Danio rerio: one gene and its partner. The protein of the gene in region 1 purifies or fractionates together with the protein of each later gene. This does not show direct contact. Links are inferred from orthologs where the notes say so. Each region holds a gene or a part of one and is shown on either strand. Other genes may lie near its edges. The genes, in order: ccnc and cdk19.

Region 1 (17,067 bases):
GCCACTTTGTAGAGAGGACTGATCCGTTTCCCTGAGGAATACAAAACTGTGATATGGTCGACGAGAGGCACGCATACAATAATTCAACAACACACACACACTTTCTACTCTTCACTCTCAGACACAGAGGAAAAATGTATTTTTTGTTCCCAAAAGAATCTTCAAATCAACCTTTCAAGAAAGTCAGGACCATTAAACACATACTTTTATGCTTATGTGTGTGTGTGTGTGTGTGTGTCCAAAACATTCAGCACTACAGCCTTAAGCTAGACAACAAACTCTATATCAAAGCAGATTTCCTATTGGTGAGCAGTTCGCTCCCCTCCTGCTCTGATTGGTGGAAGGACGGAGGTAGAGTCTTTTTGTCTGCTCTGATTGGTGGAAACAAGTGGCATCATTTTGACTGCTCTGATTCGTGGAAGGACAAAAGGAGGTGGAGTCTGCTTTGATTGGTTGGAAGATTCCAGAGGAGAGGAAAGAGAAAATCTGTGCGTGTGTGTGTGTGCCAGGAATCAGTTTCCTCACGATCAGAAAACAATGTGCTTGTGAAAATCAGCATTCAAATGTGCCAGGATGTGCCGTTTTTGCCTCTCTGGATCGCTCTGCCTCATGTCCACCTGCAGATGGCGCTCTAGGACTGACTGTACGAGCTGTTTTGACTGCCGTTTGAGCTCTGGTCAGTCTCGCTGAAGTCAGAAGAGCAAGAAGGTGCAGGCACAAATATCAGATGTTATTACTTTTGAACTTTATTCTTTATACTTGGACTAAGATTCATTTTGGCAACTGAAATAAAGCTGAAAATAAAAATGTAATATACCAGCAACTTGTTAACCCAAAAACACATGAAAATTACACAATCCCTTGGCAACTAACTGAAATAAAATAAGTTAAAGATAAGGTAAAGCAGTAGAATTACCGAAGGTGAAACAATAAATGCATTTTTTTAAATAAATAAACAAAATGCTATGACAAGGAGCTTTTGTGCTTCTCAAAAAACTAAAATTCAAAAAAAAGTTTTCAGTAAACGAAGTAAAGCTTAATGAACAGAAGATATTGCAAAATTATGAAATAAATTTTTTTTTTTTTTTTAAGTATTTATGAAAGTATTTACATAACATCTTTCAAAACCATGGGCTAAATCAATATTATTATAATATTATTTTCCACTTTTCTAAAAATAACAGTAATACAAGAATATGAACAAATACTTTAATATCTTTACCTTATTAAAATTAAAGTTACTGAAGTGTTTATTAAGATTTTAATAACTGTAACTTTAATAAGTAAATTAATAACTTTAATAAATGCATAAAGCATAATAAATGCATAATAAAGCATGTTTCATTATTACTCTGTATGTTGAAAACCAGCAGATTATACTGTGCAGTTTGCATGTCATGTTCTCACAAGCTATGAGACGATAACTGTTTTTAAGGTATACGGCGGTTTGGAAAAGTCAAGCTTTTAAAATTTGTCTGCAATACCATTCCAAAAGTATGAGTACACATTTTTATTTACTTTTTTTTTTGTTTTTTAGGACAACAGTATTTTCAGCAGAAAAAAATATCCTAAAATGCTGTTTGAAATTGTAAAAAAAAATCTGTTTTTTAGATAAATAAAGACAGCAGAAGCCAAAAATTCGTTGGTTTACTTTTCCAAAATATTTTAAATGTTTCTCAAAATAAAATATGTTGAGTTTAAAAGGAAATTTTTGTTTTTGTTTTTACTCAGACATTTGAAAGGAATAAATTTTAGAGCAGTAATCACAATACCGTGATATTTTTATCCAAGGTTATCATACCGTCAGAATCTTATATTGGCACATGCCTGGTACTTACAGTAAGTTTCTGCTTGATAAAATATTATATAAAACAAATGGAAGTTATTAAAATCTTAATAAATACTTTAATACCTTTAACTTTTAGAATTTTGCATATAAACCTTTCATACAAGTAAAATTCAAATGTATGAAATAAAAGAAAATATTAAACTTTGCAAGGATTCACCAAATTTTGAAATAGCTGCAAAACATCATTGAATGAATGAGCGTGTTAAAATGAAGTGTAACACAATTGTACTTTTCCTATTGTTACTCTTTGCAACAGGGTTACACACACACAAAAAAATACTGTAGTGTAACATGAATAACTGAGAGGTAAAGCACTGCAATCCATCTTACCTGTTAGGAGGAGGTTTGGGTTTGGGCACCTTGTTAAGCACAGCGGCGATTTCCTTCCTATCGTCGAAGTTCTTCCACTGGTCATAGAGCTTCAGGATCACCCTGATGATCTCCAGGATCTGCTCCATACCAGACATTCACACACACTTACAGGAGACCAACATCCAGAAAAAAAAAAACATTCACTTCTTTTACACCTTAAAGAGTCTTACCTTCTCCATGTCCACAGAGAGCTCAGCAAACCACTGTCTGGCATCTTTCTGCTGAACCACACACGCCACATGCAGGCAAGCTGGAGGAGGAAGAAAACAATTGTTATGCAGTTATTCAGATATAAAACTATAGGCTAAATGATAACTACTACTACTAAGACTACTAATACTACTATTAATATTAATAATAATAATAATAATAGTAATAGTAGTAGTACTAATAATAATACTAATATTACAACTAATATTAGTAACAATACTACCATTAATACTACTACTACTACTACTAATGATAATAATAATAATAATAATAATAATACAGGGTAGATAGAAGAATCAGAGTTAAATTTAATAACTCTTTAGACATTTTTAAGACCCTTTCTATAAATTTTAAGATGTTATTGCAACTTCAGGTTTCAACCGATAACATTGGCGACATTTTAACTCACAGTACATTTACTGAATACTGACTGTAAGAAAGCAAAACTAAAGAGCCTTAGCTTGTGATATCGCCACAGCAATGCAATAGAATTCAGAAGAATTATTCAATGCAATAGAATTCACGAGAATTATTTACCTGACTAGCCTATGAAAGTTTCAGAAGATTAGTTAAAATAAAACTTTGTGGGACGTTGGCTAATTTTTAATCAGCTCTTACATCAAACTGAGCTAAGAAATGTTGTTCTTACCCAGTGCAATCATAAATGGAGGGTAAAGCAGACACAGGTCTGTTCTGTAGGTGTCGTTCACTATTCTCCTATAAACACATGAAAAACCATTCAAATCAGACATCTGTATACATTTATCCATCTTGCTTTTTAACATGTGAGACTTGTAAAAAACAGTGATCAACAACAGTGCAGTAAAATGTGGATCTAAATGGCAAAAAATGTGTGCAATGCAATGAGTTTGTCTTGTTTCTAGTCCAAATATCTAAAACTTCTTAAATCAAGAAACATCTTCAAGACCAGGAGTGTCCACACTGCCCTGGAGGGCCGGTGTCCTGGAGAGTTTAGCTCCAACCCTAATCAAACACACCTGAACAAGCTAATCAAGCTCTTACTAGGTATACTAGAAACTTCCAGGCAAGAATGTTGAAGCAAGTTGGAGCTTAAGTCAGCAGGACACCAGCCCTCCAGGTCCAACTTTGGAAACCCCTGTTCTAGGCGTTTAAAATGTTGTCAGAAAAAAGTCAAAATTGAGTGAGTTTTTCCTTAATGCTAGCAAAATAATCTGCCTAATAATCAGGGGTGAGTAAAAAAAATTTTTTTTGGTTTGCAATAAGATTGTTTTATGTACCCCATTGGCAGATTATTTTGCTTGTTTTAAGAAAAAACTCACTTAATTTTGACAACTTTTTTCTGAAAACAAAACAATATTTTTACTTGTCTAATGTCTTGATATAAGAATATTAAGATATTTTGACTAAAAACAACACAAAAAACTAAATAAAAAAGCATATTTTTGCAGTGTGCTGAATAATCATTCTATATATAGTCAGATATACATATTCTATATGCAGTATATAGTCAGACTGTAATGTAATGTGATGTATTTTTTATTTACGGAAATAAACCATAGCAACAGCAACCAAGGCTATTTTCATGGCAAGAACATTTCAATAATAAATAAACAATTTAAAACAACAAACAAATAAAAACACAAGTTAAGTAAGATATTTTTGTGTTAATAATACATGATAAGAATTCTGGTTTCACTTTGCTAAAAATGTCCTTAAGAGAGTTCATTTCATTAAAAAAGTCTTCTGGAATTATTAAAAGCAGGACAGTCCAGTGAAATGTGTGGGGAGTTGTGCAGAACAAACATTGAGTGGGGTCTTCATCTTTAAGTGAAAAGGCGTGAGTTAATCTTGTATGTCCAACACAACATCTAGTAAAAATCACTCGATCAAATAGTCTTAAAATTCTGTTTGACATTTCAGGTTGTATTTCATGTAATTTATTAATTTCCAATGCATTCCACTCCTCTTGCCACTTATTTAAAATGTAGATGTTGATAAAAAGGTATAGTCAGACTGAAACGCCTCAATAATAAGAGCTTCAAAAAAATGTTCAACATCAGAAAATTTGTCTAACAATAATTTCGGTTTGTTTTTCACCAAACCTTATCATATGTCTACAGAATAATTGCAATACATGGCATTTGTTACATGGAATTATTCTTTGATATGTTTGCATTTTTATTCATATATTAACATTATTCTTATATTTACACACCCTCAAACCTTTATAAACCTTTGTGTTTATAAAGGCTGCTGAACACAAAACAACATACTTTTTGAATGTTTGAAACAGTTGACCACTGACTTCCATAGTAGGAAAAAAGTCAATGGTTACCACATTCCAACATTTTTCAAAACATCTTCTTTTGTGTTCAAAGGAAAAAAAGAAATTCAAACAGGTTTGCAACGAGTGAAGATTGGCAGAATGTTCTGTTTTGGGTGAACTACCTCCTTAAGTGTGATTGTGATTTAACTACCATTACACAGGCATGCATGAGCATCAAGAAGTTCTCATGCAAAAAGGAATGAACAGTATAGGGCATTAAAAAAACAACAAAGAGATAGACGATTGGGCGAACAATCCCTTTAACCAGCATATAAAAGAAGTAGAGGTTTCTACTGAATCCACACACACTCCTCACCAAGCCAGCGGCAGCAGCATGTCCTCCTGCCCCATGTCCTGCACATACTGCAATAGCGGCCTGTACGGATGATACACGATCAGACAGCAGTCCTGAAACAAAACCAAACCAAACATCCATCAACAAACGCTGAAAACACAACTTCAAGACAACCTCAAGAATCCATCAATACCAACCATGAGCTCCAGCAAGTAGAATTCACACTCCAGGATCTAGCGAGATAAAGGCATAAGTTCACTGTGAAATCATGGCGTTAGCATGTTATGCGCACTAATTGGCATTTTCCCCCCTTTACTAAATGGAGACCGCAATGTTTCCTTTACACCACCTGACTAGTGCTGTGCTGAATAAACAACACTGCTAGTAATCATATGGCACTTATCACCAGCCCGAGACATGAACGGCCAAAACCAGAAGTCATCTATCAGGATAATGAGACTTTCCTACGAAGGTGTTGCGAGTGTGAGGAATTTCACTCCTGAACGGGTGTCAGAAACACTGCATCATCAGCACACACACACTCAAACTCTCGACTAGTGTTTCCATCATATGAATCAGACAAGTTACAAGAAATTATTATCTGGATGTATAGTGATGCTGTCAGATTTCCAAAATCTCCTAGTGAAGTCATGCTCTCGGGAAAGACTCTCACATGACGGTCTCATCATGTTTTCTGATGTAGTGAAACAAAGACGTTTGACTCACGTGGTTCATTCTGAAGGGAAACTCCTTTGGGAAGGCATAAGAGAACCTTGTTTTCACTATTAAAAAAAGAAAAGTCTGAGAAATACATATATATTACAAAAGTGACTATTGAGGAAGACATTAAACTGTTTTTTTAGTATAATCGGGATATGCTTATATTTTGTTTTCATTTTAGTTTTTTCATGATTACATTTTTAAACACGTCTATATAGTGTTTTGTTAGTTGTTTTTATATATCAAATTAAACTAAATTAAATTTAGTAATAGCAACAATTCCTTGGCTATTAGATCAAATAAATTACAATATAATATAGATTTTCTTATTTGAATATATTGTGCAACTTCATATAATGTATATATAAAAAGTGTTTGTATATGTATATACAGTTGAAGTCTGAATTATTAGCCCTCCTTTGATTATTATTATTTTTTTAAATATGTCCCAAACGATGTTTAACAGAGCAAGAAAATTTTTACAGCATGTTTGATAATATTTTCTCTTCTGGAGAAAGTCTTATTTGTTTTATTTTGGGGAGAATAAAAGCAGTTTTTGATTTTTTTAAACACCATTTTAAGGACTAAATTATTAGCCCCTTTAAGCTATATTTTTTCGATTGTCAACAGAACAAACCATCGTCATACAATAACTTGCCTAATTACTCTAACCTGCCTAGTAAACCTAGTTAAGCCTTTAAATGTCACTTAAAGCTGTACAGAAGTGTCTTAGAAATTAGTTATTAAAACTTTTATGATTAGAAACGTGTTGAAAAAAATTGTTAATCAGAAAATGGGGGAAAAACTAAACAGGGGGGGGGGGGGGGGGGGGGGCTAATAATTCTGACTTCAACTGTATAAAGAGTTCAGATGAAAAAACTTCAGTGACGTCTGAAATTTTCCTCTAAAAGTTGTGTTTTTCTCAGCCTCCAATATTTATGATCAGTTACTCCACTTTAAAGGCAATGCAAATAACCTATTATTTGCCATAAGAGTAAAATTACTGAAGTGACACACAAAAGCCTGAGGAAAAATGCTAATTTTAGATGAAAATCTCAGATGGGACTTTTCTCTCTTTATATACAAAAAAATAACTTATTATAAAATATACAAGTACAATTTAAACTATATATATACATATAATATAATACATATAATATAACATATAATAACATAATAATAACATATAACATATAATATAATATAAAATACATATATTTTATTAACATAAAAAAAAATTATGATTGTAAAATATAACCCACTTACACACAGACGTTGCTGCTGAAATAAGCCGAGTGTTTGAAACGACACCAAATTCCTGTTGACAGCAGAATTTTAGTGTTAAAATGCAGTTTCAAACATCTTTCAGCAGAAATCTGAATAAATATTGTGTTTACAGTGCTCAGTACACCCCTCACAAATCTCTCTTTTAAGTTAATATTTTCTATAGGATGATTTACAATATTATATTTGTGCATATACATTAGTTTAGTCAGTACTGAAGTCAAATTCTGGAGCTAAAAATATAAAAAAATAAAAAGTTAAAAAAAAAGTATGATGACGGTCTAAAAATTAGGTCAAATGTATATAATAAGACAAATATTAAATAAAATTGTAAAAAATAGAATAAAAATCAAGAAAAACAAAAAAAATGTAACATATAGTTGAAATTTCAGTTTGTCATTTTTTTGCAATGTTTTGCATGACTGTACATGCATTATCTTTCTATTTCTAAAGATGATTGGTGACAAAAAAAATATTTTAATAAATATATCAGTTTAATAAATCTGTTTTGTTCAAATATGCCAAAATCTATTACCTATGATGACTGAGACATGGTAAAAAAATATTTATTTTCAAAAAATGTTTTACTCATTTATGCCAAGCACTTTATATTATATACAGACAGAGTATTTACCTCTACTTTAGAGGCCAGAAACACACATGTTGGGGCCATTAACACAGGGTCAATGCTCTTCAGAGAGTACCTGAAAAAACAGCCAAGAGTTTTTCCTTTTATTTCATGAACTAAAGAGTACTTAAATGAAAGCCACAGAACAAAAATAGAGCACCACATTACATGAAAAACACAAGAGCCTAGATGAATCTAGAAGAGGAATCTTTAGAAGAAAACAAGCTTTTAATGATGGCACTGCACTGCTCACCTGGCATAGAAACGCTTAAAGTAGACAGTTGCCGTGGCGATGACCTGCTGTCTGAGTTTCAAGTGTTCGCCCAAGGCTTGAATCACTGTCACAAGAGGACGAATTAAACATTTTAAAGTGTTTAAGCTGTTTAAACTTTTAGGCTTTAAGTTAGCTTTGCATTTAAATCCCAAAACCAAATACAAATGAATACAAAACAGAAAAAAATATATACATTTCAATTAACGCTCCACAGTATATGTGGTAACCTAACACTTGGTCATATGGTCAAAAAATTAAGGCTCTAAGCATCAAAACATAAAGTGCCATTATTTTTCATACATTTACAGATAACTCCCCCTAAAATGTCTAACATCAAATAAATCTTGAAAGATCAATCATCTGATGATATATTAACAGATAACAGTGTAGCCCAAAAGTATTGTTATTTAAATATGTTAAAATGACAAAAAAGATTTACCAATTGTCAACAAAACTTATTTAAAATACAACAAAATTGAACAAGATCACCTATTGTTTGCATATTTTTAAATTATTACTACATTTAAATGATATAAATACCTTTGCAAACATGAAAAATATATATTTATCTATTACACCAAAGTATGAGGAAACAATATTTTCACAAAAGCTATTTAAAGCATGAAAGTAGACACTTTACTCATAGTTAATATGCTTACTATGCATAATAAAAACTCATGTTAATAAAAGTTGTTGCACATTGTCTCTTAAACCCATCTATCATTAATTGATCGCTCATCAGATGAGAGACTTTTATTGATTCCTAAATTTAGATTGAAATCTCTGCAGCTGCTGCTACACTTTGGAATGATTTCCCCGTCTTCCATTAGATTAGCTGCAAATCTGTTTCGTTTTTAATCCAAGTATAAAAACTATCTTGTTTGACAAAGCACTGAACACATGAATAAGATTTAGTTCATATTTTACTGGCGTTTAACCACGTAAAAGCTTTTAATTAGCCTTTTTATTTACTTGTTTTTGACTTATTCTTGCTGTTTGTGGATTTTAGTTAATGTTAAGCACATCCGTCAACATGGGTTGCTTTTAATTATGCTATATAAATGAACTGCCATTGTCATATAACATGAGTAAATACTATATTGTTGAATATTTTGGTCTTGCTTTGCACTTAGTCTAGAAATACAGTTTCAGATTCAGAAAAGAGAAAACAAAACAACTAAATAAGCAATTTCTCATCAAACCATTGGCAAAAAATATCTGCAGTTTCCAGTACTCCTCTTCTGTGAGGAACTTGAGATCTTTCTGTCTCTCCTTCATCAGATCCTGCTTGTCCAGAACCCACTGCAGACTGAAAAGAACAAAGACACTTTCAATTCACAAATCATTAAAGTGTAACACACATATATTAATATTTACGTGTAATAAATACACTCTACAAGTCAAACAACAAATGTATCAGTCACTTCATATCTGGATATTAGCATTAAAACATTACTTTAATTGAGTTTATAAATGTAAATTTAATGTGTGAAAATGAATTCACGTAGTAAATAACCGATATTTATGCAAATGATTCACAAATTAATTTCTCTGTGGTTTCTTCACTAGCCAGACAGCTAAAGCTAATAAGTCAACGATTTAAACTATTAGATTTATAAAAGTCAAATAATCTAACCTCCGTATTTGAGTCTTGGTTATGACCAAAATGTGGTACTTTGTTCGCATTAATAATTCAAATATGACAATTGAAATGTTTTTTTATATCTCTTATGGTCCCGTAACCGCAGCAAAACCCCCAAAAATCCTTTATTGTGCGTGATTTAGGTAGTAAATACGAAAATACTTACTAATGTGAACTCTGCCAGAAGTTCCCTGCCATCTTGAGGTAGAAAATAAACCTTAATGTGCTGTTAAATTGTGTTTAAAATAATCGATGCTCCGTTCAGATCAGATGAGGAGCGCGACAGAAAAAACACTCCGTGGAACTTCAATGTGAAGATTAAAACGGTCCGGGAGGAAACAAACAAACGCATCAGTTCCGGAAGAGTTTTTGCGGACTTTACTGGCATCAACTTTATATTTATCTAATCGAAATTATTTTAATATAATATGATATAATATAATATATTATAATATAATATAATATAATATAATTAAATATAGTATAATATAATACAATATAATATAATATAATATAATTATAATTAAATATAATATACAATATTATAATTTAATTATAATTAAATATAATATAATATAATATAATATAATATAATATAATATAATATAATAAAATATAGTATAATATAATACAATATAATATAATTAAATATAATATACAATATTATTATTTAATTATAATATAATATAATATAATATAATATAATGCAATATATTATAATATAATGATATTGTTTTGTATTAATATAGATTCTCATGTTTTTTGTCTTTGACAGCCATAAACAAACTTTACATTGTCATTTTTTTATTACATTATCATTTGTTTTTACCCAATATACAAGGCTACAGTGACCATAAACCGTTAATTTATGATTAATAATTAGCATGCACCTCCTCGATGAAGTCAACACCAGGCTACTGTCAATCTCCAAAAAGTTTTCGACACTTTTAGTGCAGAGAATGTGATTAATAAAGATCTCAGGCATCAGGAAAACTCGCTCCTCTATTTTTACTGCGGTAAAACTCTTCGCGGTGACCCGTCAGATTGTTCAGCAGCGGGTTAAGTTCAAGTCAGCCCGAGGTTCGAGATTCCTCTGCGGGACAGCAGGTATAAAACTACCGCATGAATGAGTGTGAGGATACAATCACACGCTTCTGTTTCAGGACCACCGGTTTCAACATGAGCTACAGCCCGGAGAGGATGTCTTCTTACCGCAGGCACTTTGAGGGAGGCCTGGCCGCCTCGTCCACCCTCCAGGTCCGGGTCTCCAGCCCTTCTCCAACTCGCGGGGCGACTAGACACCGGTCCGCCAGCTATTCCCGCAGCACCGGCCGCAGAGCGCTGTCCGGGACACGCAAATCACGCATGACCAGGTAAAGAGACATCTAATGTAATATATTTAATGTTCTCTAATAAACGTGCTCATACTCAACAATCAAATACGTATGTAGCCTAAATAAATAATAAAAAATTTGACTAAGTTTTAATTTTAGGAAAAAACTTTACCATAGTATTTCACTGTGTTATTTGTAGCCTAACAAATGTAATGTAAAATTAATGTTCTGTACTGTAAGTGCTCATACCGGACAATCAAATAATGATGTAGCCTAAAATATAATTAAATATTTTACTGTGTTTTTAAGAAAAATATTATAATTTTACTGTGTTATAATCAGTAGCCTATAACAGATTTAAGTTAAAAATATGTAAATCAATAATTAAATATTTTAACTGTAGGCTATATATTTTTAGGAAATAATAGGCTATACTTTTATTAGCAGCCTGACACCTTTAATGTAAAGAATAATGCAGAATAAATAAGGAAAATAATATATTATTACTGTGTTATTAGTAGCCTAACACCTTTAATGTAAAGAATAATTTATAATAAATAAGGATAATAATATAATTTTAGTAGTCTAATTTGAAGAAACTGTATGTAAAAATAATGTCACTTTATGAGATATACATTACATGACTGAGCAGGCTACAGCTACAATAATATTTTAGTTAAAAGATAATACAGCTACATGACATGCTAAATACTGCAAACCTTTCAACACATTTTATATAGTTTTGGTTTCTCTTGATTTGTCCTCTTTTTATTATATATTTTTTCTTAACATACAAAATTGTGCTATTATTTTAATGTAAAGAATAATGAATAATGCTACCTAATATAGGCCACCATACTAGACAATCATTACTATGGTTAAATAAAATTATTATGTAGGCTAATCTAATATTTTTTACTGTATTTTTTGAGAAAAATAATATAATTTAATAATGAGACAATAATGAAACATTATTTAATATAATATAATATTACTTCATTATTATCAATAGCAATGTTTACTCAGTTATTACTGCGTTCTTACTACTAGTCTAATTTCTTTAACTACAGTCTGTATTTCATATTGTTTCGTGAAACATATTTTTTAAATATTACAATTGACTGTAATAACATCTCTTTGCATGTCTGATTCGCTCCACAGCAGCGTGAGTATGGGGACGCTGTGTCTCGGGATGGGTTTTGGTGGTGCTGGAGGTGCAGTGGATCTGGACGCTGCGGCCGCTGAGAATCAGGCTTTCCTCAGCACACGCACCAGCGAGAGGAAGGAGATGATAGCCCTCAATGACCGGCTGGCTGTTTACATCGAGAAGGTATAAAAAACGTCATGCCTTTCACTGTTTTGGCTCTCTCTTTGTGGTATCTATTTTGAAGACCGGTGTTTTGTTGGTCCAGGTACGTTCTCTGGAGCAGAGTAACAAGCTGCTGGAGACTGAGATTAATGCCATTAAAGGCCACCATGTGAAGCCGTCCGGCCTGCGTCTGCTTTATGAGGAACAACTGAGGGAGATGAAGAAGATTGCAGACCAGATGAAAATCCAACGGGTGAGACATGATGAACCACAGAGCCACTAATGCACACACTATTCACCAATTTGCCCTACTCGCTCATAGTTTTCCCCCATAATTTTATTTTCACAAAAGTTATGTGCATCTAATTATGTGCATCTAATTAAATGTAATTATGTTAAATTAAATGTCTATTTAATCTTTATTTTTCATGATTTTATTATGATTAAATCCAAAAAATATTGACTTTGAAATGAAATAACTGTGTTTTGGCAAATGGCTGAAATGCAATAATAATAAAAGCAGAACCCCGGTAAAGTCACTAATTGACCGACACTGATTGGCCTATTAAATGTGGCCATATTTAATGTATGTATAATGTATTACAGGACCTGGCAGTAGCAGCAAAGGATGCCATGGCAGGTCAGCTGGAAATGCTGAAGGTGAAATACGAGGAGGCGTTGGAGGCCAGGAAGAAGGCAGAGCTCGAGATTGAAGCCTTCAGACCGGTAAAGTCCAATGTAATAACAAAAACACAGCTGTTTTTACATAACAATGGTGTCTAAACTCCCTCTGTCCACTAGGATGTGGATGCAGCCACCTCTGCCCGAATTGCCTTGGAAAAACGACTGGAAAATCTGGAAGTGGAGCTCGAGTTCTTGCAGAGGATTCACAAAAAGGTGCACAACACGCAATTTACTCACAGCCACGCTGTTTGCTACTCAGCACAAGTTGATTGGTCAGATTCTGCAACCAATGAAAATGCTTGTTTAACAATTAAACATTATGGCTCAGTGTTCACTGTAAAATAAGCCAATTTGAAGCCCTCCACATCCTCCAGCATCACCTGTCTAAACCTCAAATGGTATGCATGTGTGCTACTTTATAGTCAAAACCCCTTCCCCTTCCCCTGAGGGTGCTTTCACACCTGTAGTACCTTTGGTTCAAACCAAGGGTAAACATTATACATTGTAGCATTTTCAGCCATTTTGTTTCTGTTTCACACCAGACTGCTCCGAACCAGTTTAAATACACCAAAATATAACAGCATCCACATCAGTGTATGGCTGGCCGCATTTTCTAAACTGCATTTTGCTAAACTTCCTAAATCCTCCAACTGCACCTGTCTAACTGTGGTGATGGAGGATATATGTACACCTATTCATAATCAAAATAACTTTCTGTTCCTCTTCAGTCATATATCTTCCCTGATTACATGTTTAGTGTGAGGGCGGGATCAATCTGACAATCAAATAAAATCGACCAATAGCAAACAACAACCATACGATTTATTCACAATAGACGAAATCAAGCCCCTCCTTTTTCAACCTTTGTTTGAGGAGCTGTTTTTCCCACAACAGAAAACAATCTCAGCTTGAATTTTTATTATTGTTTTTTTTTTTTTTTCTGTCAGGAAATCGAGGAGTTGATGGCTCAAATTTATGGATCTGTGGCTAAAGTAGATGTGGCCTTCTCTTTGCCCGATCTGGCGTCTGCCCTCAAACAGATCCAGGCTCAGTATGACAGTATCGCTGCGCAAAACCTCCAGGTAAAAATAAATACAGTTGAAGTCAGAATTATTAACCCCCCTCAAATATTTTTCTTCATTTTTAAATATTTTCCAAATGATGTTTAACAGAGCAAGGAAATTTTCACAGTATGTCTGATAATATTTTTTTCTTCTGGAGAAAGTTTTATTTGTTTTATTTCGGCTTGAATAAAAGCAGTTTTTAATTTTTTAAGCACAACTTTGGGGACAAAATTCTTAGCCCCTTTAAGCTATATTTTTTCTCGATAATCTACAGAACAAACCATCGTTATACAATAACTTGCCTAATTACCCTAACCTGCCAAAGTAACCTAATTAACCCAGTTAAGCCTTTAAATGTCACTTTAAGCTGTGTAGAAGTGTCTTGAAAAATATCTATTAAAATATTATTTACAGTCATCATGGCAAAGATAAAATAAATCAGTTATTATAGATGAGTTATTAAAACTATTATGTTTAGAAATGTGTTGGAAAAATTTGCTCTCCGTTAAACAGAAATTGGGAGAAAAAAATAAACAAGCGGTCTAAAAATTCAGGGGGGCTAATAAATCTGACTTCAACTGTACTATGAAATGCTCAATCTGTCATTTGTGTATGATGAGATGATTCATCTGAAGGGGCTCATGCTCTTAATAATAATACATTTGGAAATAAAATGTAAACAATGCCACTTTTCATAGCACTGAACCTGGATCTTTTTGTGTTTCCTTGCTGGCGTGTGTCTAGGATATGGACGCCTGGTACAAAGGAAAGTTTCAAGATCTAAACAATGTATCGTCTCGGCACATGGAAACAGCGAGAAGCGCCAGAGAGGAAATCATGGGATACAAGAAGGAGGTGAGGGAAAGCGTGGGTCACTATTAACACCAAATGATGCAGAATTATTAACATTCTGCACACGTGTTTACAGATACAGAACAAACAGAGGGAACTGGATGCCCTTAAAAACAGGAATGAGGCACTGCTGCTGATGATCAAGGAGGCGCAGGAGAATTACAGGAAAGAGGAGGAGGAGCTACATGTAAGGACACGCCCCGATACTAAATACTATTATTAAATTCAACTCAAGTTTATTAGTATAGCGCTTTTCATAATAAGTATTGTCAAAGCAGCTTTAATAAAGGTGTACATTGTTGCATTACAATCCAAATCAGAGGTTGTTAGCTACCATAACTTTATTAGTTCCTAATAACCGTAACTAATTAACAAGTAACCAATAGCTTTTAACAGTTAAAGTGATTATATTCAAGCATACTAAAAACATGTTTGTTTTGATCATGTGTAGACGCGTATAGAGACTCTTAAAGAGGAACTGAGGTCTATCAAGGGGAAGATCGCGCTGCTGCTGAGAGAATATCAGGATCTGCTCAATGTTAAGATGTCACTGGAGATTGAAATCACCACATACAGGTACTGCCATTGTATCATATTATCTTGAGCAAGATATTCATTTTTGTTTAATTGACAAGACTGTAAACATCCCGAATCAATAGGGGTGTAATGGTCATTTAATGAAATTACTTAAAAGGCAGAATTTAAATGGGTTGAGGCAAGCAAAGTCAAAATATTATACATTTTATTATTATTTTATAATACATTGGCAAGGCAAGGCAAGTTGATTTATATAGCACATTTCATACACAGTGGCAATTCAAAGTGCTTTACATAAACAGGAATAAAAAAAGACAAGTTTAGGAACATAAAATGCAGACAATAAAATTATTAAAAACAGATGAAAACAAATTAAAATGAGTTAAAATAGGTTATAAAAGAATGAAAAAGAAAACGAAAAACATAATAGTGCAATCTGTCGGATGTAGCACAGTGCTCATACAGTAAAGGCACAGCTAAACAGATGTGTTTTCAGTCTCGATTTGAATATGCCTAATGTTGGAGCACATCTGATCATTTCTGGAAGCTGATTCCAGCAGCGAGGGGCGTAGTGGCTGAAGGCGGATTCACCCTGCTTAGACTGAACTCTTGGAACTTCTAGTTTATATGATCCTAAAGATCTGAGTGATCTGTTAGGTTTGTATTCAGTGAGCTTATCTGTAATGTATTGAGGTCCTAGGCCATTTAGTGATTTATAGACAAGTAATAATACTTTAAAATCTATTCTGAATGTAACTGGGAGCCAGTGTAGAGACCTGAGGACAGGTGTGATGTGCTCTGATTTTCTGCTTCTGGTCAGAATCCTGGCCGCAGCGTATATTACATATTATGTTTATTTTCCATATTTTCACCCATACAGTAATTTAATTTAGTTTTCAAATGTAAACAAATGTTATTGTTGCCTCAAATTCAATTACTAATTGAATCACATCAATAGCTGCCTATATTTATATATAGGCTTGGTTAATTAGGCAAGTTAGGGTAATTTGATAAATCATTGTTTAACAGTGGTTTGTTCTGTAGACAATGGAAAAAAAATATAGCTTAACGGGGCTAATAATTTTGACCTTTAAATGCTTTTAAAAATATATAACAACTGCTTTTATTCAATCGGAAATAAAACAAATAAGATTTTCTCCAGAAGAAAAAATGTTATAGGAAATACTGTGAAAAATTCCCTGCTCTGTTACACATCATTTAGAAAATATTTGAAAAAGAAAAGAAAATTACATGGGAGGGCGAATAATTGTGACTTCAACTAATATACAGTTGAAGTTAGAATTATCAGCCCCCTTTAAATTTACTTTTTCTTTTTTAAATATTTTTTAAATGATGTTTAACAGAGCAGGGAATTTTTCACAGTATGTCTGATAATTTTTTTTCTTCTGGAGAAACTCTTATTTGTTTTATTTCGGCTAGAATAAAAGCAGTTTTTAATTTTTTAAACACAATTTTAGGGACAAAATTATTATTAGCCTTTTTAAGCTATATTTTTTCTAGATAGTCTACAGAACAAACCATCGTTATACAATAACTTGCCTAATTAACCTAACCTGCCAAAGTAACCTAATTAACCCAGTTAAGCCTTTAAATGTCACTTTAAGCTGTATAGAAGTGTCTTGAAAAATATCTATTAAAATATTATTTACAGTCATCATGGCAAAGATAAAATAAATCAGTTATT
Region 2 (16,588 bases), on another chromosome or scaffold:
CAGACCCAGCCGCCACTGCGCTCTATTATGAAAACACTGCAAAAATGCCTCTAATGCCGAGTTCAGACTGCATGATTTTCAAAGCCGTCGTGTCACAGATGTTTTCACACTGCATGACTATCTGGGCTAGCGTTTCGTCGCTGCTTTGTTTACACTGCAAGATGGATCGGCGACAGGGGCTTTCACATTGCATGACTTTACTATAGGAAGAATCGCCGACAACTTCGTCCAAACTACGTCTCACAGCCAAAAACACGCAGTATATCTTTTGTTATTAACTACATAATGAGAAAGAAGCCTTTAATGGGGTAGAACATGTACATGTTTGCTCACCTGGGTTTAAAGGGAATTAGCCATTTCTCCTCAACGTTGATAATAAACTAATTTCTTTCTGTATGAAACGTCAAACAGACACGGTTGCTCCTGAGTCCTGTCAAACCTCCACTAGTTTTTCCTCCATTTCGTGGGTCCAAATAAACCGAAAAAGAGCGCTGTTAACTTCTCCCCCAGCCTCCCGCTGGCCTGCAGCAGGTATACACACACACACACACAAGTGAATGCCGCTCTCTCATTGGCTGTAGGCGATCGCTGATGTTATTTTCAGTCAAAACTCAATTCACACGGCATGATTTGAATCGCCGACAGCTCCAGATATTCAGCATGCCAGATATCACAGGCATCGGCGACTCATCTGCGATTCTCTCAGATGGCGTCTTTGATCGTTCATACTGTGTGATCGTCACTCACGTGCACGAGCAGCGATTTGCCTGTGATTTCAGGCATTTGTCGGCGATTTCTCAAAACCTGTCGGCGAGCCAAAACCGGGGCTAAAATCACGCAGTCTGAACTAGGCATTAGAGAATCGCCAATGAGTCGCCGATGCCTGTGATATCTGGCATGCTAAATATCTGGAGCTGTCGACGATTCAAATCATGCCGTGTGAATTGAGTTTTGACTGAAAATAACATCAGCGATCGCCTACAGCCAATGAGAGAGCGGCATTCACTTGTGTGTGTGTGTGTGTGTGTGTGTGTATACCTGCTGCAGGCCAGCAGGAGGCTGGGGGAGAAGTTAACAGCGCTCTTTTTCGGTTTATTTGGACCCACGAAATGGAGGAAAAACTAGTGGAGGTTTGACAGGACTCAGGAGCAACCGTGTCTGTTTGACGTTTCATACAGAAAGAAATTAGTTTATTATCAACTTAAGTTGAGGAGAAATGGCTAATTCCCTTTAAACCCAGGTGAGCAAACATGTACATGTTCTACCCCATTAAAGGCTTCTTTCTCATTATGTAGTAAATAAAAGATAACCGACGTGTTTTTGGCTGTGAGACGTAGTTTGGACGAAGTTGTCGGCGATTCTTCCTATAGTAAAGTCATGCAATGTGAATGTCCCTGCCGCCGATCCATCTTGCAGTGTAAACAAAGCAGCGACGAAACGCAAGCCCAGATAGTCATGCAGTGTGAAAACATCTGTGACACGACGACTTTGAAAATCATGCAGTCTGAACTCGGCATAAGATGGTGTCTTTGAAAGTTCATACTGTGTGATTGTCACTCACGTGAACGAGCAGCGATTTGCCTGTGATTTCAGGCATTTGTCAGCGATTTCTCAAAACCTGTCGGCGAGCCAAAACCGGGGCTAAAATCACACAGTCTGAACTAGGCATTACTTTAATTTTTGCCTTGTTTTTTGTCCAAATATCTACAAATTCTTAAACCAAGAGATAATTTCTAGACAAGCAAAAACCATTGTCTTGTTTTCAGAAATAATAAGTCAAAATTAAGTGAGTTTTTCCTTAAACCAAGCTAAATAATCTAAACTACCTGACAAAAGTTTTGTTGCCTATCCAAGTTTTAGGAACACCAAATAATAACTTGACTTCTAGTTGGTCATTTGGTATCAGAAGTGGCTTATATGAAACGCAAAGGCCTTTGGATTACACTTATTTGACCAAAATAAAATCTGATCATGCCCTGATTATTAATGATTTCATTAGTACAGTAAAGTCTAACTCTGCTTTGACAAAAGTCTCATCACTGAACAGAAATAATGTCCAGTATAGAATATAAAGTCCTGCTGCAGTGGAGACAGAATGAATATTGTGTCTGACTCCATCATGAGCTTGGAGGACTGCATCCATACATCTCTGCACTGACTCTGTGTTTTTCTGTCATTTGGAAATGACACTAGCCTATATTTTCACTTTGTCACAGTTATTAAATCAGTGTGTCAGTGGCACAGTACAGGGTACGTGTGTGTGTCAAACATTTTGGTGAATTACATTTGTTTGGGCTGGTTATGTATTTGAAATAAAGAGAAAATGTTGACTTTAGCGATGACGAGGCTTCATTTAAACTGCAGAAGATGCCGTCTGACACCGAGGGGAAAACGCCTCACAGCAGCTGTTTTCCATCCTATTAGATCGCATTTCTGTAAATGATCAGTCCAGGAGATGGTGCTGACGGACAACAGTATTAGTTCAAAGAGGATAAAAGCCGGTAAAATAGATTAAAACTATCATTTCAGAGCTGTCCAAATGTGACTGTTTACACGCATCAGCTGCCGACCGGAAGTTCTTCGCATTCTCCTTGCGCATACACGCAAAGCATAATGGGTAATTTTGCGTTCCAAGAAAAAGGTCTATATAAAGGATTATAATTACTGGTCAATTATAATCCTGACTCAAAATTGACTATCCTGCAATGTAAATATGGCAGATACACATATGTAGATGCTGAAATTATGTATTGTGCAACCCTGTATAAGTGTGTGTGTGTACTTCTATCCAAGAGGGGACTTAAACCTGAATGCACACAGACTCATGGAGACTTAAGTCATTGCGGGGATCAAAATTAAGATTGGTCCTTAGCATACTTATAAATCACACAGAATGAAGTATTTAAGTATACAAATGCAGATTATTTCCTGTGAGGGTGGATTTCAGGGGAAGAGAATATCCGGTTTGTACAGCAGAAACATCATTACGTCGATGAGAGTCCCCATTAGGATATAAAAACAAGTGTGTCAAGACTTACTCAGATGTAGGTAAGGGGTCCTCCAGGAAATAGGGGTCCTGCAGTGCCTGTTCAGACGTGATTCTTTTGGTGGGGTCCATAGTCAGCAACTTCTGCAGCTGGATGAGATGAACACACATCACACTGATTACTCTGAATGGTGATTGGTCAACTTGTTGGTGTCCATAGTAGGGTGTTCCAGCTGTTCATAAGATCCTGCTTAAACTGGAATATAAGGGCGTACTCACACTATGCTATCCGAACCGTGCGCAGGTCTGTTTCCCGGATCGTTTGAGAAGTGTGAGTGCTCTGAATCGGGCTCAGGCACTGTTCACTTGGCCAGCCCTGGCCCTGTTGGAAGAGGTGTGTCAGAGCGCGGTTCACTTGGGCGCTCAGTGTGTGAGTGCAAAACACGCCTGAGCCAGAAACTCAAGAGGAGATGTGACTTTTAGGTGGCTGTTTGATATGGATTTATTAATCATTCTTTTTAATGAAAGCAAACTGTCATAGATTATTAAAAGACGCAAACCCCTCACTGCACCACAGCTGCACCTTCAGCAAACCTCCTAATTCCTGCAGCACGAGGGCTTTATTATTGTTTATGAGCGTCAAAAGTGGCTGATCTGTACGGCGAAATGTTTGACTGCGTGTCACTGCATCCCAAACGACCTAAATGATATAAAGAAATGTCCACTGTTCTGAGCGAGAGCGCTTACTGAACAGCACATCAATGATGACGTAAGCGGGCCCAGGGCCGAATGTAATGTGAGTGCGGGCCGTCGGGGGAGACGGGAGGGGGGACAAGCGTGCTTCAGCCTGGTTCAAGGCAACTGTACATAGTGTGAGTACGCCCTAAAGAGGACATAAAGTCCACACTAGAGGCTTAGTAATTACTAGCTAGTTTGTAACCATAGATACATGCACTAGATGTCGCATAGGGACCCTGAGCATGCGTCAATAGCGCCGCCATATTTGTACAGGGCTCCCAGGACAAGTGTCATTCAACCTCACTAGTCAAGACAGTATTACTACAGGAAGATGCGGTACTTTAGTGCTGTCTAAGCACTAACAAAGAAAACAAAGGCAGAACATTTCATAGGGAAGATTTAGTTTTTTACATTTTTGTATGTTATGAACTTTTGTGCTAAACTAGTAACGTTTATTAGAGAGAAGTAAGAGAAGTAATGATAATAATACTGCATTTACCATAAGGCGAAGGAGCACCAACTCGCACTAAACACTCGGCTTATGCTAGTTTTGTTGAATAAAATCAGCAAACAATGCAAAAGAAATATGACAACGAGATGCTGCGCTGCCAGAAACTTGTATTATTGTCGGCTAAGTGTAGTCGTTTATAACAGGGATACATTCACAAACAAATCGCTCCCTCCGTCACTATGAGAAGTGAAAGCAGGAGAGGAGGTGTGTTTTAAGACACGTATTAGATCAAATTCAACAGGGAGGTGAATAGTACATTTCTATACACACAAACACAAGCTTTTTGTCAGGAATGACCGTGCGATCACTGATCCATCAATGTAGAAAAGTGATGTAAAATTCTAATTTTCGTGATTAAAAAAAAAATTTGCATACTGACCTCCGGGAAATCATAGATATATGCATATATATATATATATATATATATATATATATATATATATATATATATATATATATATATATATATATATATATATATATAAATAAATAATCTGGCTTTAGATGGCCACAATCCTCCACTGCAGCTTGGTCCCGCATTCATTTCAAAGGAGCGCTACTCTGTACTAAAATGGCGGCTCTATTGACACATTCCTTCCAATAGACAACAACAGAGCAGGCGACATCTACTGTATATAGCTATGATTTGTAACTAATATTGTACTTCGGTTGCACTACATGTTCTTAAAGGGTCAGTTCACCGAAAATCATCATTTACTCAACCTTCAGTTCAAAACTCAAGCCATTTTATCTGTTGATTGCAAAATAAGTCCGTTTGAAAAATGTTGGAAACCGGCAACCATAGACCTCCATAGTGTTTTTGTCTCCTTCTATGCAAGTCAATGGTAAGTAGACAGCGAGTGAAGTTTCATTTTTAGCTGAACTATAATCTCTATAAGCCTGAAAGCAGGCTGTAAGCTCTGTATAAGGCGGTGGTTCTCAATTCCAGTCCCTGGGCCACCCCTGCCCTGCACATTTTGTGTGTCTTCCTTATTTAACACACTTGATTCAGATCATCAGCATGTGAACTGAGAGATCCATGAACTGATTCTTGTGTGTCAAGTAAGAGAGACGTGCAGAATGTGCAGGGATGAGCATCTGAGGACCAGAATCCAGAACCGCTGGTATAAGGTAATGCGTAGTTGCATTGAATGACATAACCAATCAGAATCCTTCAAATTGTTAAAGGGAAAAGTAGCCTGAAATATGCGTGAAATTAATGTGAAGTTATCCAAATCATAACACTAAACTTGAAATCGGCACTGGTAGTGCTGTCGCGTCACTGCAAGAAGGTCGCTAGTTCGAGCCTCGGCTGGGTCAGTTGGCGTTTCTGTGTGGAGTTTGCATGTTCTCCCTGCATTCGCGTGGGTTTCCTGCTCCAGTTTCTCCGGTCCAAAGACATGCGGTACAGGTGAATTGGGTAGGCTAAATTGTCCGTAGTGAATGAGTGTGTGTGTGGATGTTTCCCAGAGATGGGTTGCGGCTGAAAGGGCATCATTCATTCATTTTCTTGTCGGCTTAGTCCCTTTATTAATCCGGGGTCGCCACAGCGGAATGACCTATCCAGCAAGTTTTTACGCAGCGGATGCCCTTCCAGCTACAACCCATCTCTGGGAAACATCCACACACATATTCACACACACACTCATACACTACGAACAATTTAGCCTACCTAATTCACCTGTACCACATGTCTTTGGACTGTGGGGGAAACCAGAGCACCCGGAGGAAACCCACACGAAGGCAGGGAGAACATGCAAACTCCACACAGAAACGCCAACTGAGCCGAGGTTCAAACCAGCAACCTTCTTGCTGTGAGGCGACAGCACTACCTACTGCGCCACTGCCTCGCCCTGAAAGGGTATCTGCTGCGTAAAAACGTGCTGGAAAAATTGGTGGTTCATTCCACCGTGGCGACCCTGGATTAATGAGGGGACTAAGCCAAAAAGAAAATGAATGAATGAATAAACTTGATCTCATGTTAATAGTAGCCCGCAGATGAACAGGCAAATAAACAGGAAGAACAATTCAGACATGAAGGAATTCTCACTTCAATTGAGCGATACAAAACAAAACAGAACACTCCTTAAAACGAACCTTGTCTGTCACAAACCAGAATGAATGAAGGTGAGATTTGGCAGGACATCAAAAACTAAATCAAATCAAAACACTGAGCAGAGGGAGATGACAGATGAGAACATGTGCTTCCTCAGTATCAACCCGGAGCTCCTCAATGTAGACTAATCTGCTGTCGCCTCTTTCTACTGTTTGTCATGGGTGGGGAGGCTGCTGTAAATATGTTTCTGGAACTCAGAGATATGACTAAACCAAGTTCAGTGGTGCACCAAAAAATATTTCGTAGTAGCTGTAACTTAGGCCCAATCTCAATTCTACCCCTTATCCCTTCCCTTCCCTTTTGTGTGTTCTCGTGAAGGGGTAGGGCTGTCCCAATTATAGTTAATTTGAAAGTGTAGGGCTAAGGGGAAGGGGTGAATAGCCCTTCGAATGGAGATTTTTTAGGACCACACTCAAAAACAAGAGGTAAGAAAATTTCCCAGAATACACCAGCCACAACGGCAGGATAGCTCCACCCGGAAGTAAGAAGATCAACAAATTAGTATTTTTTTGTCATTATTACGAATTATTTATTCATTCATTCATTTTCTTGTCGGCTTAGTCCCTTTATTAATCTGGAATCGCCACAGCGGAATGAACCACCAACCTATCCAGCTCATTTTTACACAGCGGATGCCCTTCCAGCTACAACCCATCTCTGGGAAACATCCACACACACTCATACACTACGGACAATTTAGCCTACCCAATTCACCTGTACTGCATGTCTTTGGTTTGTGGTGGAAACCGGAGCACTCGTAAGAAACCCACGCGAATGCAGGGAGAACATGCAAACTCCACACAGAATGGCCAACTGAGCCGAGGATCGAACCAGCAACCCAGCGACCTTCTTGCTGTGAGGCGACAGCACTACCTACTGCGCCACTGCCTCGCCAATTACGAATTTTTACAACAAACAAACACGTTTGCATGTTCTCTCTGTATTTGCGTCGGTTTCCTCCAGGTGCTTCTGTTTCCCCAACAAGACATGCTGTATAGGTGAATTGGGTAGGCTAAATTGTCAGTAGTGTGTGTGTGGGAATGAGTGTGTATGGATGTTTCCGAGTGATGGGTTGCAGCTGGAAGGGTCTCCGCTGCGTAAAACATGTTAAATAAGTTGGTGGTTCATTCCGCTGTGGCGACCCTGGATTAATAAAGGGACTAAGCTGAAAAGAAAATGGATAAATAATCCTGGCCTAAGATGGTTTGCTCACTTCAATATCTTATTTATTAGGGCAAAGTTGACCTTTCAACAAACAATCAGATACAGTGAAAGCATGAAAAGACTCACCAGTAGAAACACTTTGCTGTCTGGTTTGACCTTATGCTTCTCCATGTATTTGATGAGACTGCTGTTGGCATATCTGAAAAACACAACAGAAACGTCACTATATGATACGTTTCTGCACGCTCGGTCATCAAAACTATGGCTGCATCTGAAACCGCATACTTGCGTACTATATAGTACGCTAAAATCAGTATGCGAGCCGAGTAGTACGTCCGAATTCATAGAATTCGAAAAACAGTATGCGAAAAGTACCCGAATGACTTACTACTTCCGGCGAGATTCTGGAGTGCGCATCCCATGCATGCTGCGCTATCCCATGATGCCCCGCGAGCGAATTCATGAATGGGAGTAAAGCGACGCAAATTACGCAGGTATGTCACGTGACTATGTCAAAATGGCGGATGTAGTAAGTCCGAAATCCATTCATACTTTTTTACAAAAATGATACTGTATAGAACGTATTTTTCTAACGGCCGAGTAGTACGATTAAATTCAAATGGAGTACATACTCAGGGCCGGAGCAAGCTGAACTGCTGCTCCAGGCAAAGGACGGTCACGCTGCCCTCAACCCTAAAGTGAAAGTCGCCCTCTCTATTCTGCCACCCTAGACGCGGATATAACTGAGGGCGCGGGTGGTGAGGGTAGTGTCGCGGACATCGCCCTCTCTATTCTGTCGTCCTAGACGCGCTCACTATTCTGCCTTTCTAGACGCGGATATAACTGAGGGCGCGGGTGGTGAGGGTAGTGACGCGGACATCGCCCTCTCTATTCTGCCGTCCTAGACGCGCTCACTATTCTGCCGTCCTAGACGCGGATATAACTGAGGGCGCGGGTGGTGAGGGTAGTGACGCGGACATCGCCCTCTCTATTCTGCCGTCCTAGACGCGCTCACTATTCTGCCGTCCCAGACGCAGATATAACTAAGGGCGCGAGAGGTGAGGGTAGTGTCAGGGACGCCGCCCTCTCTATTCTGCCACCCTAGGCAGCCGCCTAGGTCGCCTCTATGGACGCGCCGGCCCTGTACCTACTGAGTAGTAGGCTGTTTCGGACACAGCCTATGAGTGTCGCCTTAAACCTGTGATGTAAAGTTACAACCTACAAAAACTCAGACTCCTGTAGTTGAGTAGTTTTTCTCAGGAATTGTAATTCACTAAGTAGTGTACTTTTACTTACCCTTGAATACATTTTTAGCAGTGTTGGGCAATAACACGTTACTAGTAATGCGCTACTATAATGCATTACGGTTACGCATTACTTTTGACAGTAACTAATACAACGCATTACTTTTTAAATATATTAACTCTGTTATCCTTACAATATAATGCTTTTGTCCGTTACTGGGTAGGTTAATTAATTTTGGCTGCAGTCTAGCTGACATGCAATCTTCCTGTTTACAGGAACTCATTGTGTGATTGGTGGATGCCAACCAACCACTTTAAAGAAGCACCAAGTGTGCGTGCGAGAAACCAGAAGCCTCATGTACAAAGACTTGCGTTGAAATAATACTAAACATCGCATACGGACAAAGCTGTAAACGTGCGTACACAGTAAAAAATTCAGATGTATGAAACACTGCGTACGCCGAATCCCACACATATTCTCTTTGTACATTTTTGTACAATTAACGTTAAACTGAGCGCACGTGCACGAGCGCAAAACCCTCCCGGCCTCCAACCCTATATAAATATGGTAATGACTCCACTTTGGCAAAACCAAACGAAAAAGCAATGACAACCCTGCTGAAAAAAACAGCTTAAACCAGCCTAGGCTGGTTGGCTGGATTTAGCTGGTCGACCAGGCTGGTTTTAGAGAGGTTTTGGCCACTTCCAGGCTGGTTTCCAGCCATTTCCAGCCTGGTCTTAGCTGGCTGGAAAATGACCAGCTAAATCCAGCTAAAACCAGCTTGAGCAGTCTGGTTTAAGCTGGATATAGCTGGTTTTGACTGGCTTCCAGCCTGGCTAGGTTGGTCAAGCTGGTTTTAGCTGGTCATCTTCCAGCCTGACCAGCTAAGACCAGACTGGAAATGGCTGGAAACCAGCCTGGAAATGGCCAAAACCCCTCTAAAACCAGGCTGGTCGACCAGCTAAAACCAGCCAACCAGCGTAGACTGGTTTAAGCTGTTTTTTTTCAGTAGGGAAAAGCCAGCAAGAAGAGAAACTTCACAGAATGTGAATTGGAGGTGCTTTTATCGGAGGTAGATCACAGAAAAGCAGTGTTATTTGCAAGTTTGTCCTCCGGAATTAATAACAAAAGAAAAAAATAGAGTGGGAGAGTTTAGCTGACGCGGTTAACGCAGTGGAGACTGAACATTGCACGGTGAGTGAATTATAAAAAAGAAGTCAGCTGTTTTCATTCAGCACAGAATCACAACGCCGCTTTGCTGTATATTCAATAAGACTGATTTACTTCAACAAATGTGATTAGACTTGGAAATACATAAACTTAATAAAGTTTTGGCTGATGAAAGAAACGGTGTTAGTATGGAAGAAAACACTGCACTTACGTGGTTCTTCTGAAATCTTTCTGTAAGGTAGGATACTCTGGCATTTTTCTGATATCTTCCCAGTCTTTATCTATAGGAAAAAGGAATCAACTTTACATAACAGTGCACAGTGATGACGTTCTGATGCTCGGTTTGAACTGCAGCAGATCGTCTTGCCCATGCCAACATGTTTAAATGCATTGAGTTGCTGCCATGTGATTGGCTGATTAGAAATTTGCGTTAACGAGCAGTTGGACAGGTGCACCTAATAAAGTGTATATATCAGTTCGAGAAAGGTTTGTTTGCCTGCCCTGCTGAAAAATCCAGCTTAAACCAGCCTAGGCTGGTTGGCTGGTTTTAGCTGGTTGACCAGCCTGGTTTTAGAGGGGTTTTGGCCATTTCCAGGCTGCTTTCCAACTATTTCCAGCCTGGTCTTAGCTGGTCAGGCTGGAAAATGACCAGCTAAAGCCAGCTTGACCAGCCTGGTTTACGCTAGATATAGCTGGTTTTGGCTGGGCTCCCAGCCTGGCTAGGCTGGTCAAGCTGGTTTTAGCTGGTCATCCCCCAGCCTGTCCAGCTAAGACCAGGCTGCAATGAAAAAAGTGTTGCATGCAGAACTGTTGCAAACAATTTGTTTGTGTTGAATTTAAACAAACAAATTAAGTTTAGTACAACTTAATGTTCAACTTAATTTGTTTGTTTAAATTCAGCCCAAATAAATTGTTTACAACCTCTTAATGTAAAGAAATTGAGTAAATCCAAGGAATCATCTTCGAATAATTTTTTTCAGTGTGGAAATGGCTGGAAACCAGCCTGGAAATGGCCAAAACCCCTCTAAAACCAGGCTGGTCGACCAGCTAAAACCAGCCAACCATCCTAGGCTGGTTTAAGCTGGATTTTTCAGTAGGGTGGTCATTGCAGGGTTTGAAAGTCACTCTATTATTATCATTTTCTTGTAATTTTGCTATTATAATGGCTACAAATAAACTATTATTTTATATAATCTGCCAAAAGGGTAAACAAAATAATGTTGGTTTCGCTTTGAAAGTCATTGGTTGATAATTTTGACATATTATTCCTTAAAACAAGACATTATTTTGTACTTGTCTAGAAAAAGCTTCTTGCTTTAAGAATTTTGAGATATTTAGACTAGAAACAAGACATAAACTTTAAGTAAGAATTATATTTTGCAGTGTACCTGCTGGGAAGCCCATGACGCTGAATATGCGATCTAACTGGTCGTGATGGAAAGGATTGCTGGTCTTTATGTCCTCTTGTCGACAATGGAAGATTGGCTCTGACGTCAGCAGCTCCGCAAAGATACAGCCTATTGCCCAAATATCTACAAACACAGTCAAACAATGTTAAGTGCAGATAACAAAGGGTAGATTGGCCATGAGCAGGGCCAGACGGAATCTGCGGATGTGTTTTTGCTATTTCTGCAGAGAAATTTGGTAAAAATTTGTGGATTTCTGCTGAATTATTTTGGGAGTATCATAACTAAAACCTTAATATATGAAATAAAAAAAATTATACCTTTTTAACTTTTATTTAATGTTCAAAATGCAAATTAGATTTAGCTTTTTTGGTAAATAAAGCAAGTCTCTTAAATAATATCTCTTCTAAAAGCCGGAAATAATACTTACTGCATTGTGCATAAATCAGATGCCCTAACCCTAACATTTTCATATTAGTCAATAATGTTACTGAAATTAATTTAAAAACTGAATAAATTTAGATTTACACACATTTACTCAAGTAAATAAACAGAATTAATGATGGGCTAAAAATCTGCGGAAAATCTGCGGAATTCTACGCAAGCAGATTCCGTGTGGGCCTAGCCATGAGTAAAGTCGACGCACAGCTCACCGATTGCTTTGGTGTAGTGTCTCGCCCCGAGGAGCAGTTCAGGCGCCCGGTACCAGAAGGTGACGACCACTGGGTCCAGATCAGCCAGAGGCTTCAGCGGAGAGTTGAAGAGTCGAGCAAAACCCATATCAGCTACGACACACAAGCACAGACACACGTGAATAAACCATATAATAAACCATTCAGTCTGCAGATCACTCCAGCCTCAGCTGAGCTGTGCTCTTTTACTCTACACTGCAAAGAAGACTTTTCTCATGTAGATGTCTAGATCAGATATCTCTTAAAGGGCCAGTAAACACCCCTGTTTCAGCAGGGTGTTTTCACACCTCTAGTTTGAAAAAAGTCAGGAAAGTGAGTGTGTCACTTTTTTATCCCTGCTAAAAAATCCAGCTTAAACCAGCCTAGGCTGGTTGGCTGGTTTTAGCTGGTTGACCAGCCTGGTTTTAGAGGGGTTTTGGCCATTTCCAGGCTGGTTTCCAGCCATTTCCAGCCTGGTCTTAGCTTGGCAGGATGGGAGATGACCAGCTAAAACCAGCTTGACCAGCCTAGCCAGGCTGGGAGCCCAGCCAAAACCAGCTATGTTGGGAACGTTGGGTTATATGTTGGGGTATAATATAACTGTTTTAAAAGAGTAGTGAAAATGAAGTGTAATCACTAGGGATGTAACAATATTGTAAATACCGTCATACCGCAATAGTAATTTTTTTCAATATTACCGTAGGCGCATGACTCAATAAAACTATATTTCTGAGAAAAGTTTGCTCAGGCGAATGAAGCGAACGGGAGGTAGCGGGAACTACAATTCCCATCAGCCCAGGCGTGGCCATCATCACAGCACACTTGTTAGATTGAAGCAACCATTGACTTGTACAGCAAAGAGACCTCTATCTCACTCATGGTTTGTCCTCTCAAGTGGTGGAAAGACAATGCACAACGTTACCCACTGCTGTCAACCTTGGCTAAATCATATCTCTCTGTCCCAGAAACCTCAGTCCCAAATGAGAGGGTTTTTTCTATTGCAGGGGACATTGTAAATGCCCAGAGATCCCAGCTTTTACCAGATTATAGTTATATGATAATTTTCCTTAAAAAACCCATCTCTATCTAAGTGAGTGAGTGATTAAATGTTGAATGTGATGAGTTTTCAACAATACTACATTGAAACTATTTTTTTTATATGGTTTTATAGTTTTTTGTTATTAAAATTGAAAAATTGAAGTTCCTGTTTCGAAACTTTCAGATAGATGGTTAATTTGTATGTCATTGATATGTTCAGTGCTAAGGTAAATAAACCCTTTTAGCACTTTTTTCGAGTCTTTTTATTAGTTTGTTTTTACTGTAAATTTTTCAATAAATACCGTACCGTGCCATTCATACCGAGGTATTATCGTACCATTAAATTCTAATACCGTTACATCCCTAGTAATCACTGTGACAGAAATGAGCTAAAGCAGCACATTTTGTTACAAACACTCCAGACACAATTAATAGTGAAAAGTCAAAGTGAAACATTATTTTTTAAAGCTTCATATAAGGTAAAATCGTGGGCCGTGTTTCGTCCTATAACCAGGCAGAGACTACAGGACTCAAGAAGACCACTTCAGGCCAGCAGTGCTCGAGGCAGCATGTACGATTAATAATTCATGCTTTCTCACTAAGAAATGCACATCTTGAGTTGAATGTAGCAGTATGTTGAGCTTAAAGGGCTAGTTCACCCTAAAATAAACATTTGCTTACTTACTTTCCCTCAATTGCTTCCAAAACTATGTTTCTTTCCTACTATGGAAGTCAGTGGTTACTGGTTTCACCTTTTTCTGTGTTCAACATGGGCGGCACGGTGGCACAGCACTGTCGCCTCACAGCAAGAAGGTCACTGGTTCAAGCCTCGGCTGGGTTAGTTGGCGTTTCTGTGTGGAGTCTGCATGGAGTTTGTGTGGAGTTTGCATGCTCTCCTCGTGTTGGCGTGGGTTTCCTCTGGGTGCTCCAGTTTCCACCACAAGTCCAAAGACTTGAATTGGGTAAGCTAAATTGTCCGTAGTGAATGAGTGTGTATTGGCATTTCCCAGGGATGGGTTGCAACTGGAAGGGCTGTGTAAAACATATGCTGGAAAAGTTGGCGGTTCATCCTGCTGTGGTGACCCCAGATTAATCAAGGGACTAAGCCGAAAAGAAAATGAATGGATGAATGTGTTCAACAGAACAAAACAGCCCAAAATGGTTTGGATCAAGTCAAGGCGTGAGAAAATGATGGCAGAAACTTTCGCTTTTTTGGGATGAACCAGTCCTTTTAAGTTGCACTAGCAAGAAAACGTTTATACCCAATCTTGAGCCCTGGATTAAAAGATTAGTTTCGCTGCTTAAGTGATGAAACAGCAGTGGTCACGTTGAGTCAAACTAACGCTGAAAGACACACAGTAACCAAACACAATAACACATTCCACATGGTGGTAAAAATAGTGCCCTGAACACTCATCGCCCAGAATAGAGTCTTATGTAAAACAATGGCTTCACATTTACCCAGTCTGACCCTGATGACCGCCGCCTAAGCACTCTAAAGCCTAGTTCACACTACATTGCTGCATCCCAATTCGCATGCTATCCATCCTTAATTCTTCATTTTCTTTTCGGCTTAGTCCCTTTATTAATCTGGGGTCGCCACAGTGGAATGAACCGCCAACTTATCCAGCATATGTTTTACACAGCGGATGCCCTTCCATCACTGGTGATCATCCATACACCCTAATTCACACTCATACACTATGGACAATTTAGCCTACCCAATTCACTATAGCGCATGTCTTTGGACTGTGAGGTAAACCAGAGCACCAGGAGGTAACCCATGTGAACACGGGGAGAACATGCAAACTCCACACAGAAAACCTTCTTGCCGTGAGGCGATCGTGCTACCCACTGCGCAACCGTGAGTCCCCCATCCTAAATAGGATTTGAAAATAGAATTAGTTTGTTCCAACCGGTAGCATGCAGAAAAGTGTAGAACCGTTCGCCAATATCGCCCACAATACATTGTGCTTTGGAAGTGAATTCAATTAGAACAACAAACTTGGGGGAAAAGTGTAAACAAACTACAAACATGGTGGACATGCAAGACCAACCGTCAAGTAGAGAGAAGATGTTCGAATGACTATTACTTAATATCTAGACAACTGGAAGATATTTAAATCACATTTCCTGAGTTATAAACCATCTGCAGCAATAATATGAAGTTTTATAAAGACGTGTTTGGACTTCTGAATGCATTACACAAACACCTGCAAAGATCTCTCTGCATGAAAGAATCACAAATGGCAGATTAACACAGATCTGAAAAGACGAATGACCAATCTACGTCACACATGACGTCACACAGGTTCCCGGAGTCAAAAAGAGACCGGTTGCAATAGCAAACATGTCGTGTTGTGCTGTAGGATGTGTTGGAATATCTAGGCAATTCTATGTGTGTTCAATAAGAAAAGGTCTGGAGAGTGTTTTCTTCAATGCCAAAAATATTAGTAATTTATTAGATACAGATGAATAATTCAATGACAGAGCTCTGGGTTATGGTACCCCCATGCAATACAAGAATTACATTCAAAAGGTTCACAACTAACTTACTTTTCCTGACTCCAGCATATATACACAACTGATATTAACAGGTGGAGTGTTGGTTTAACGTCACTGATCAGTCATTCTGCAGTCCCTTGGCTCTTTGTAACCCCTAGACATACTTCCTCTTTTTGCAACCCTTCTTTGCATACCAGAACTGAACAATTACATGCATCTTTAATATATTTCACAACTTCTACAAAGATCATGCTCCTTGTGACTTGTCCAGACAGCAGTCTGGACCAAACCTAAATTTATTCTTATTCTGCTTTTTCCACTAGTCAGCAGTTCTTCTAAAAAGTATGCAGCACAGTAAAAAAGACGAAGTGTGTCTGGTCAAGATGTGTTATAATACAATAGAAAAGATTGATTAATCTGTTGTTAGCCTAAACATATTTCTAATAAAAAATAAAGACACAAAAGTAATAAAAATAAATTCCTTTTTTCCTACAGATGACAAATTTGAAAAGTCCACAAATAGAAAACCTAACTTTTACTGTACACCACACTGCTTTAATGCAAACTGCACACGTCTTTGGCTAAAAGGGAGCTGAATGAAGTGACGACCTATTTAAAAATGCTGGACTCTGCAGTTTTCATGTCATATCAGGTAAGTTCACGCTATGCTGAATCATACTCATTACTCATTTTACTCATTCAGCAATAATTTCAGCAAAAACAGTCACATATGGTGAATTAAACTGCGGACACTGAAAGCTAAGAATGAAACGTGAAAGTGTAAGTTATGAAGGTAAACTTGGTTTTATATACACACATTCATTCAGTGACAACTTGTGACACACTCCCTATATTGTTTACCACGGCACTTTGAATATTTGGTCTGAAATAACCAGCAAGTGTGACTTCATTAACATCATTAACACTGGATATTTTGTTTATTATTAACATTGTTTATAAGCCGGCAGCTAGTTCTTTGCAACTCTCACATGGTTGCCCATTGAAGCAAGGCAGGGCTGTGCCCGGTCAGTACCTGGA

What was found.
Region 2: the proteins of ccnc (region 1) and cdk19 purify together in Homo sapiens (affinity purification with mass spectrometry; 8 studies listed by BioGRID and IntAct, counting the BioPlex papers as one, with this or other methods). This does not show direct contact. The link is inferred for Danio rerio from reciprocal best matches to the Homo sapiens genes CCNC and CDK19.

Annotation. Positions count from the first base shown.
Region 1 is NC_133179.1:6,188,741-6,205,807, forward strand, and holds the start of ccnc (cyclin-C), read right to left. Parts: upstream 9,871-17,067; 5' UTR 9,781-9,870; coding exon 9,749-9,780; intron 9,250-9,748; coding exon 9,143-9,249; intron 8,005-9,142; coding exon 7,920-8,004; intron 7,743-7,919; coding exon 7,673-7,742; intron 7,073-7,672; coding exon 7,021-7,072; intron 5,817-7,020; coding exon 5,761-5,816; intron 5,268-5,760; coding exon 5,232-5,267; intron 5,148-5,231; coding exon 5,056-5,147; intron 3,149-5,055; coding exon 3,081-3,148; intron 2,472-3,080; coding exon 2,392-2,471; intron 2,299-2,391; coding exon 2,180-2,298; intron 687-2,179; coding exon 632-686; 3' UTR 1-631. Other genes in the region: ngs (notochord granular surface), read left to right, coding at 10,705-10,955, 12,078-12,246, 12,329-12,478, 12,832-12,951, 13,027-13,122, 13,857-13,991, 14,718-14,828, 14,902-15,012 and 1 more. UniProt on the Homo sapiens protein: Component of the Mediator complex, a coactivator involved in regulated gene transcription of nearly all RNA polymerase II-dependent genes.
Region 2 is NC_133195.1:2,982,939-2,999,526, forward strand, and holds part of cdk19 (cyclin-dependent kinase 19), read right to left. Parts: intron 12,122-16,588; coding exon 11,990-12,121; intron 11,463-11,989; coding exon 11,319-11,462; intron 10,212-11,318; coding exon 10,142-10,211; intron 7,715-10,141; coding exon 7,642-7,714; intron 3,137-7,641; coding exon 3,039-3,136; intron 1-3,038.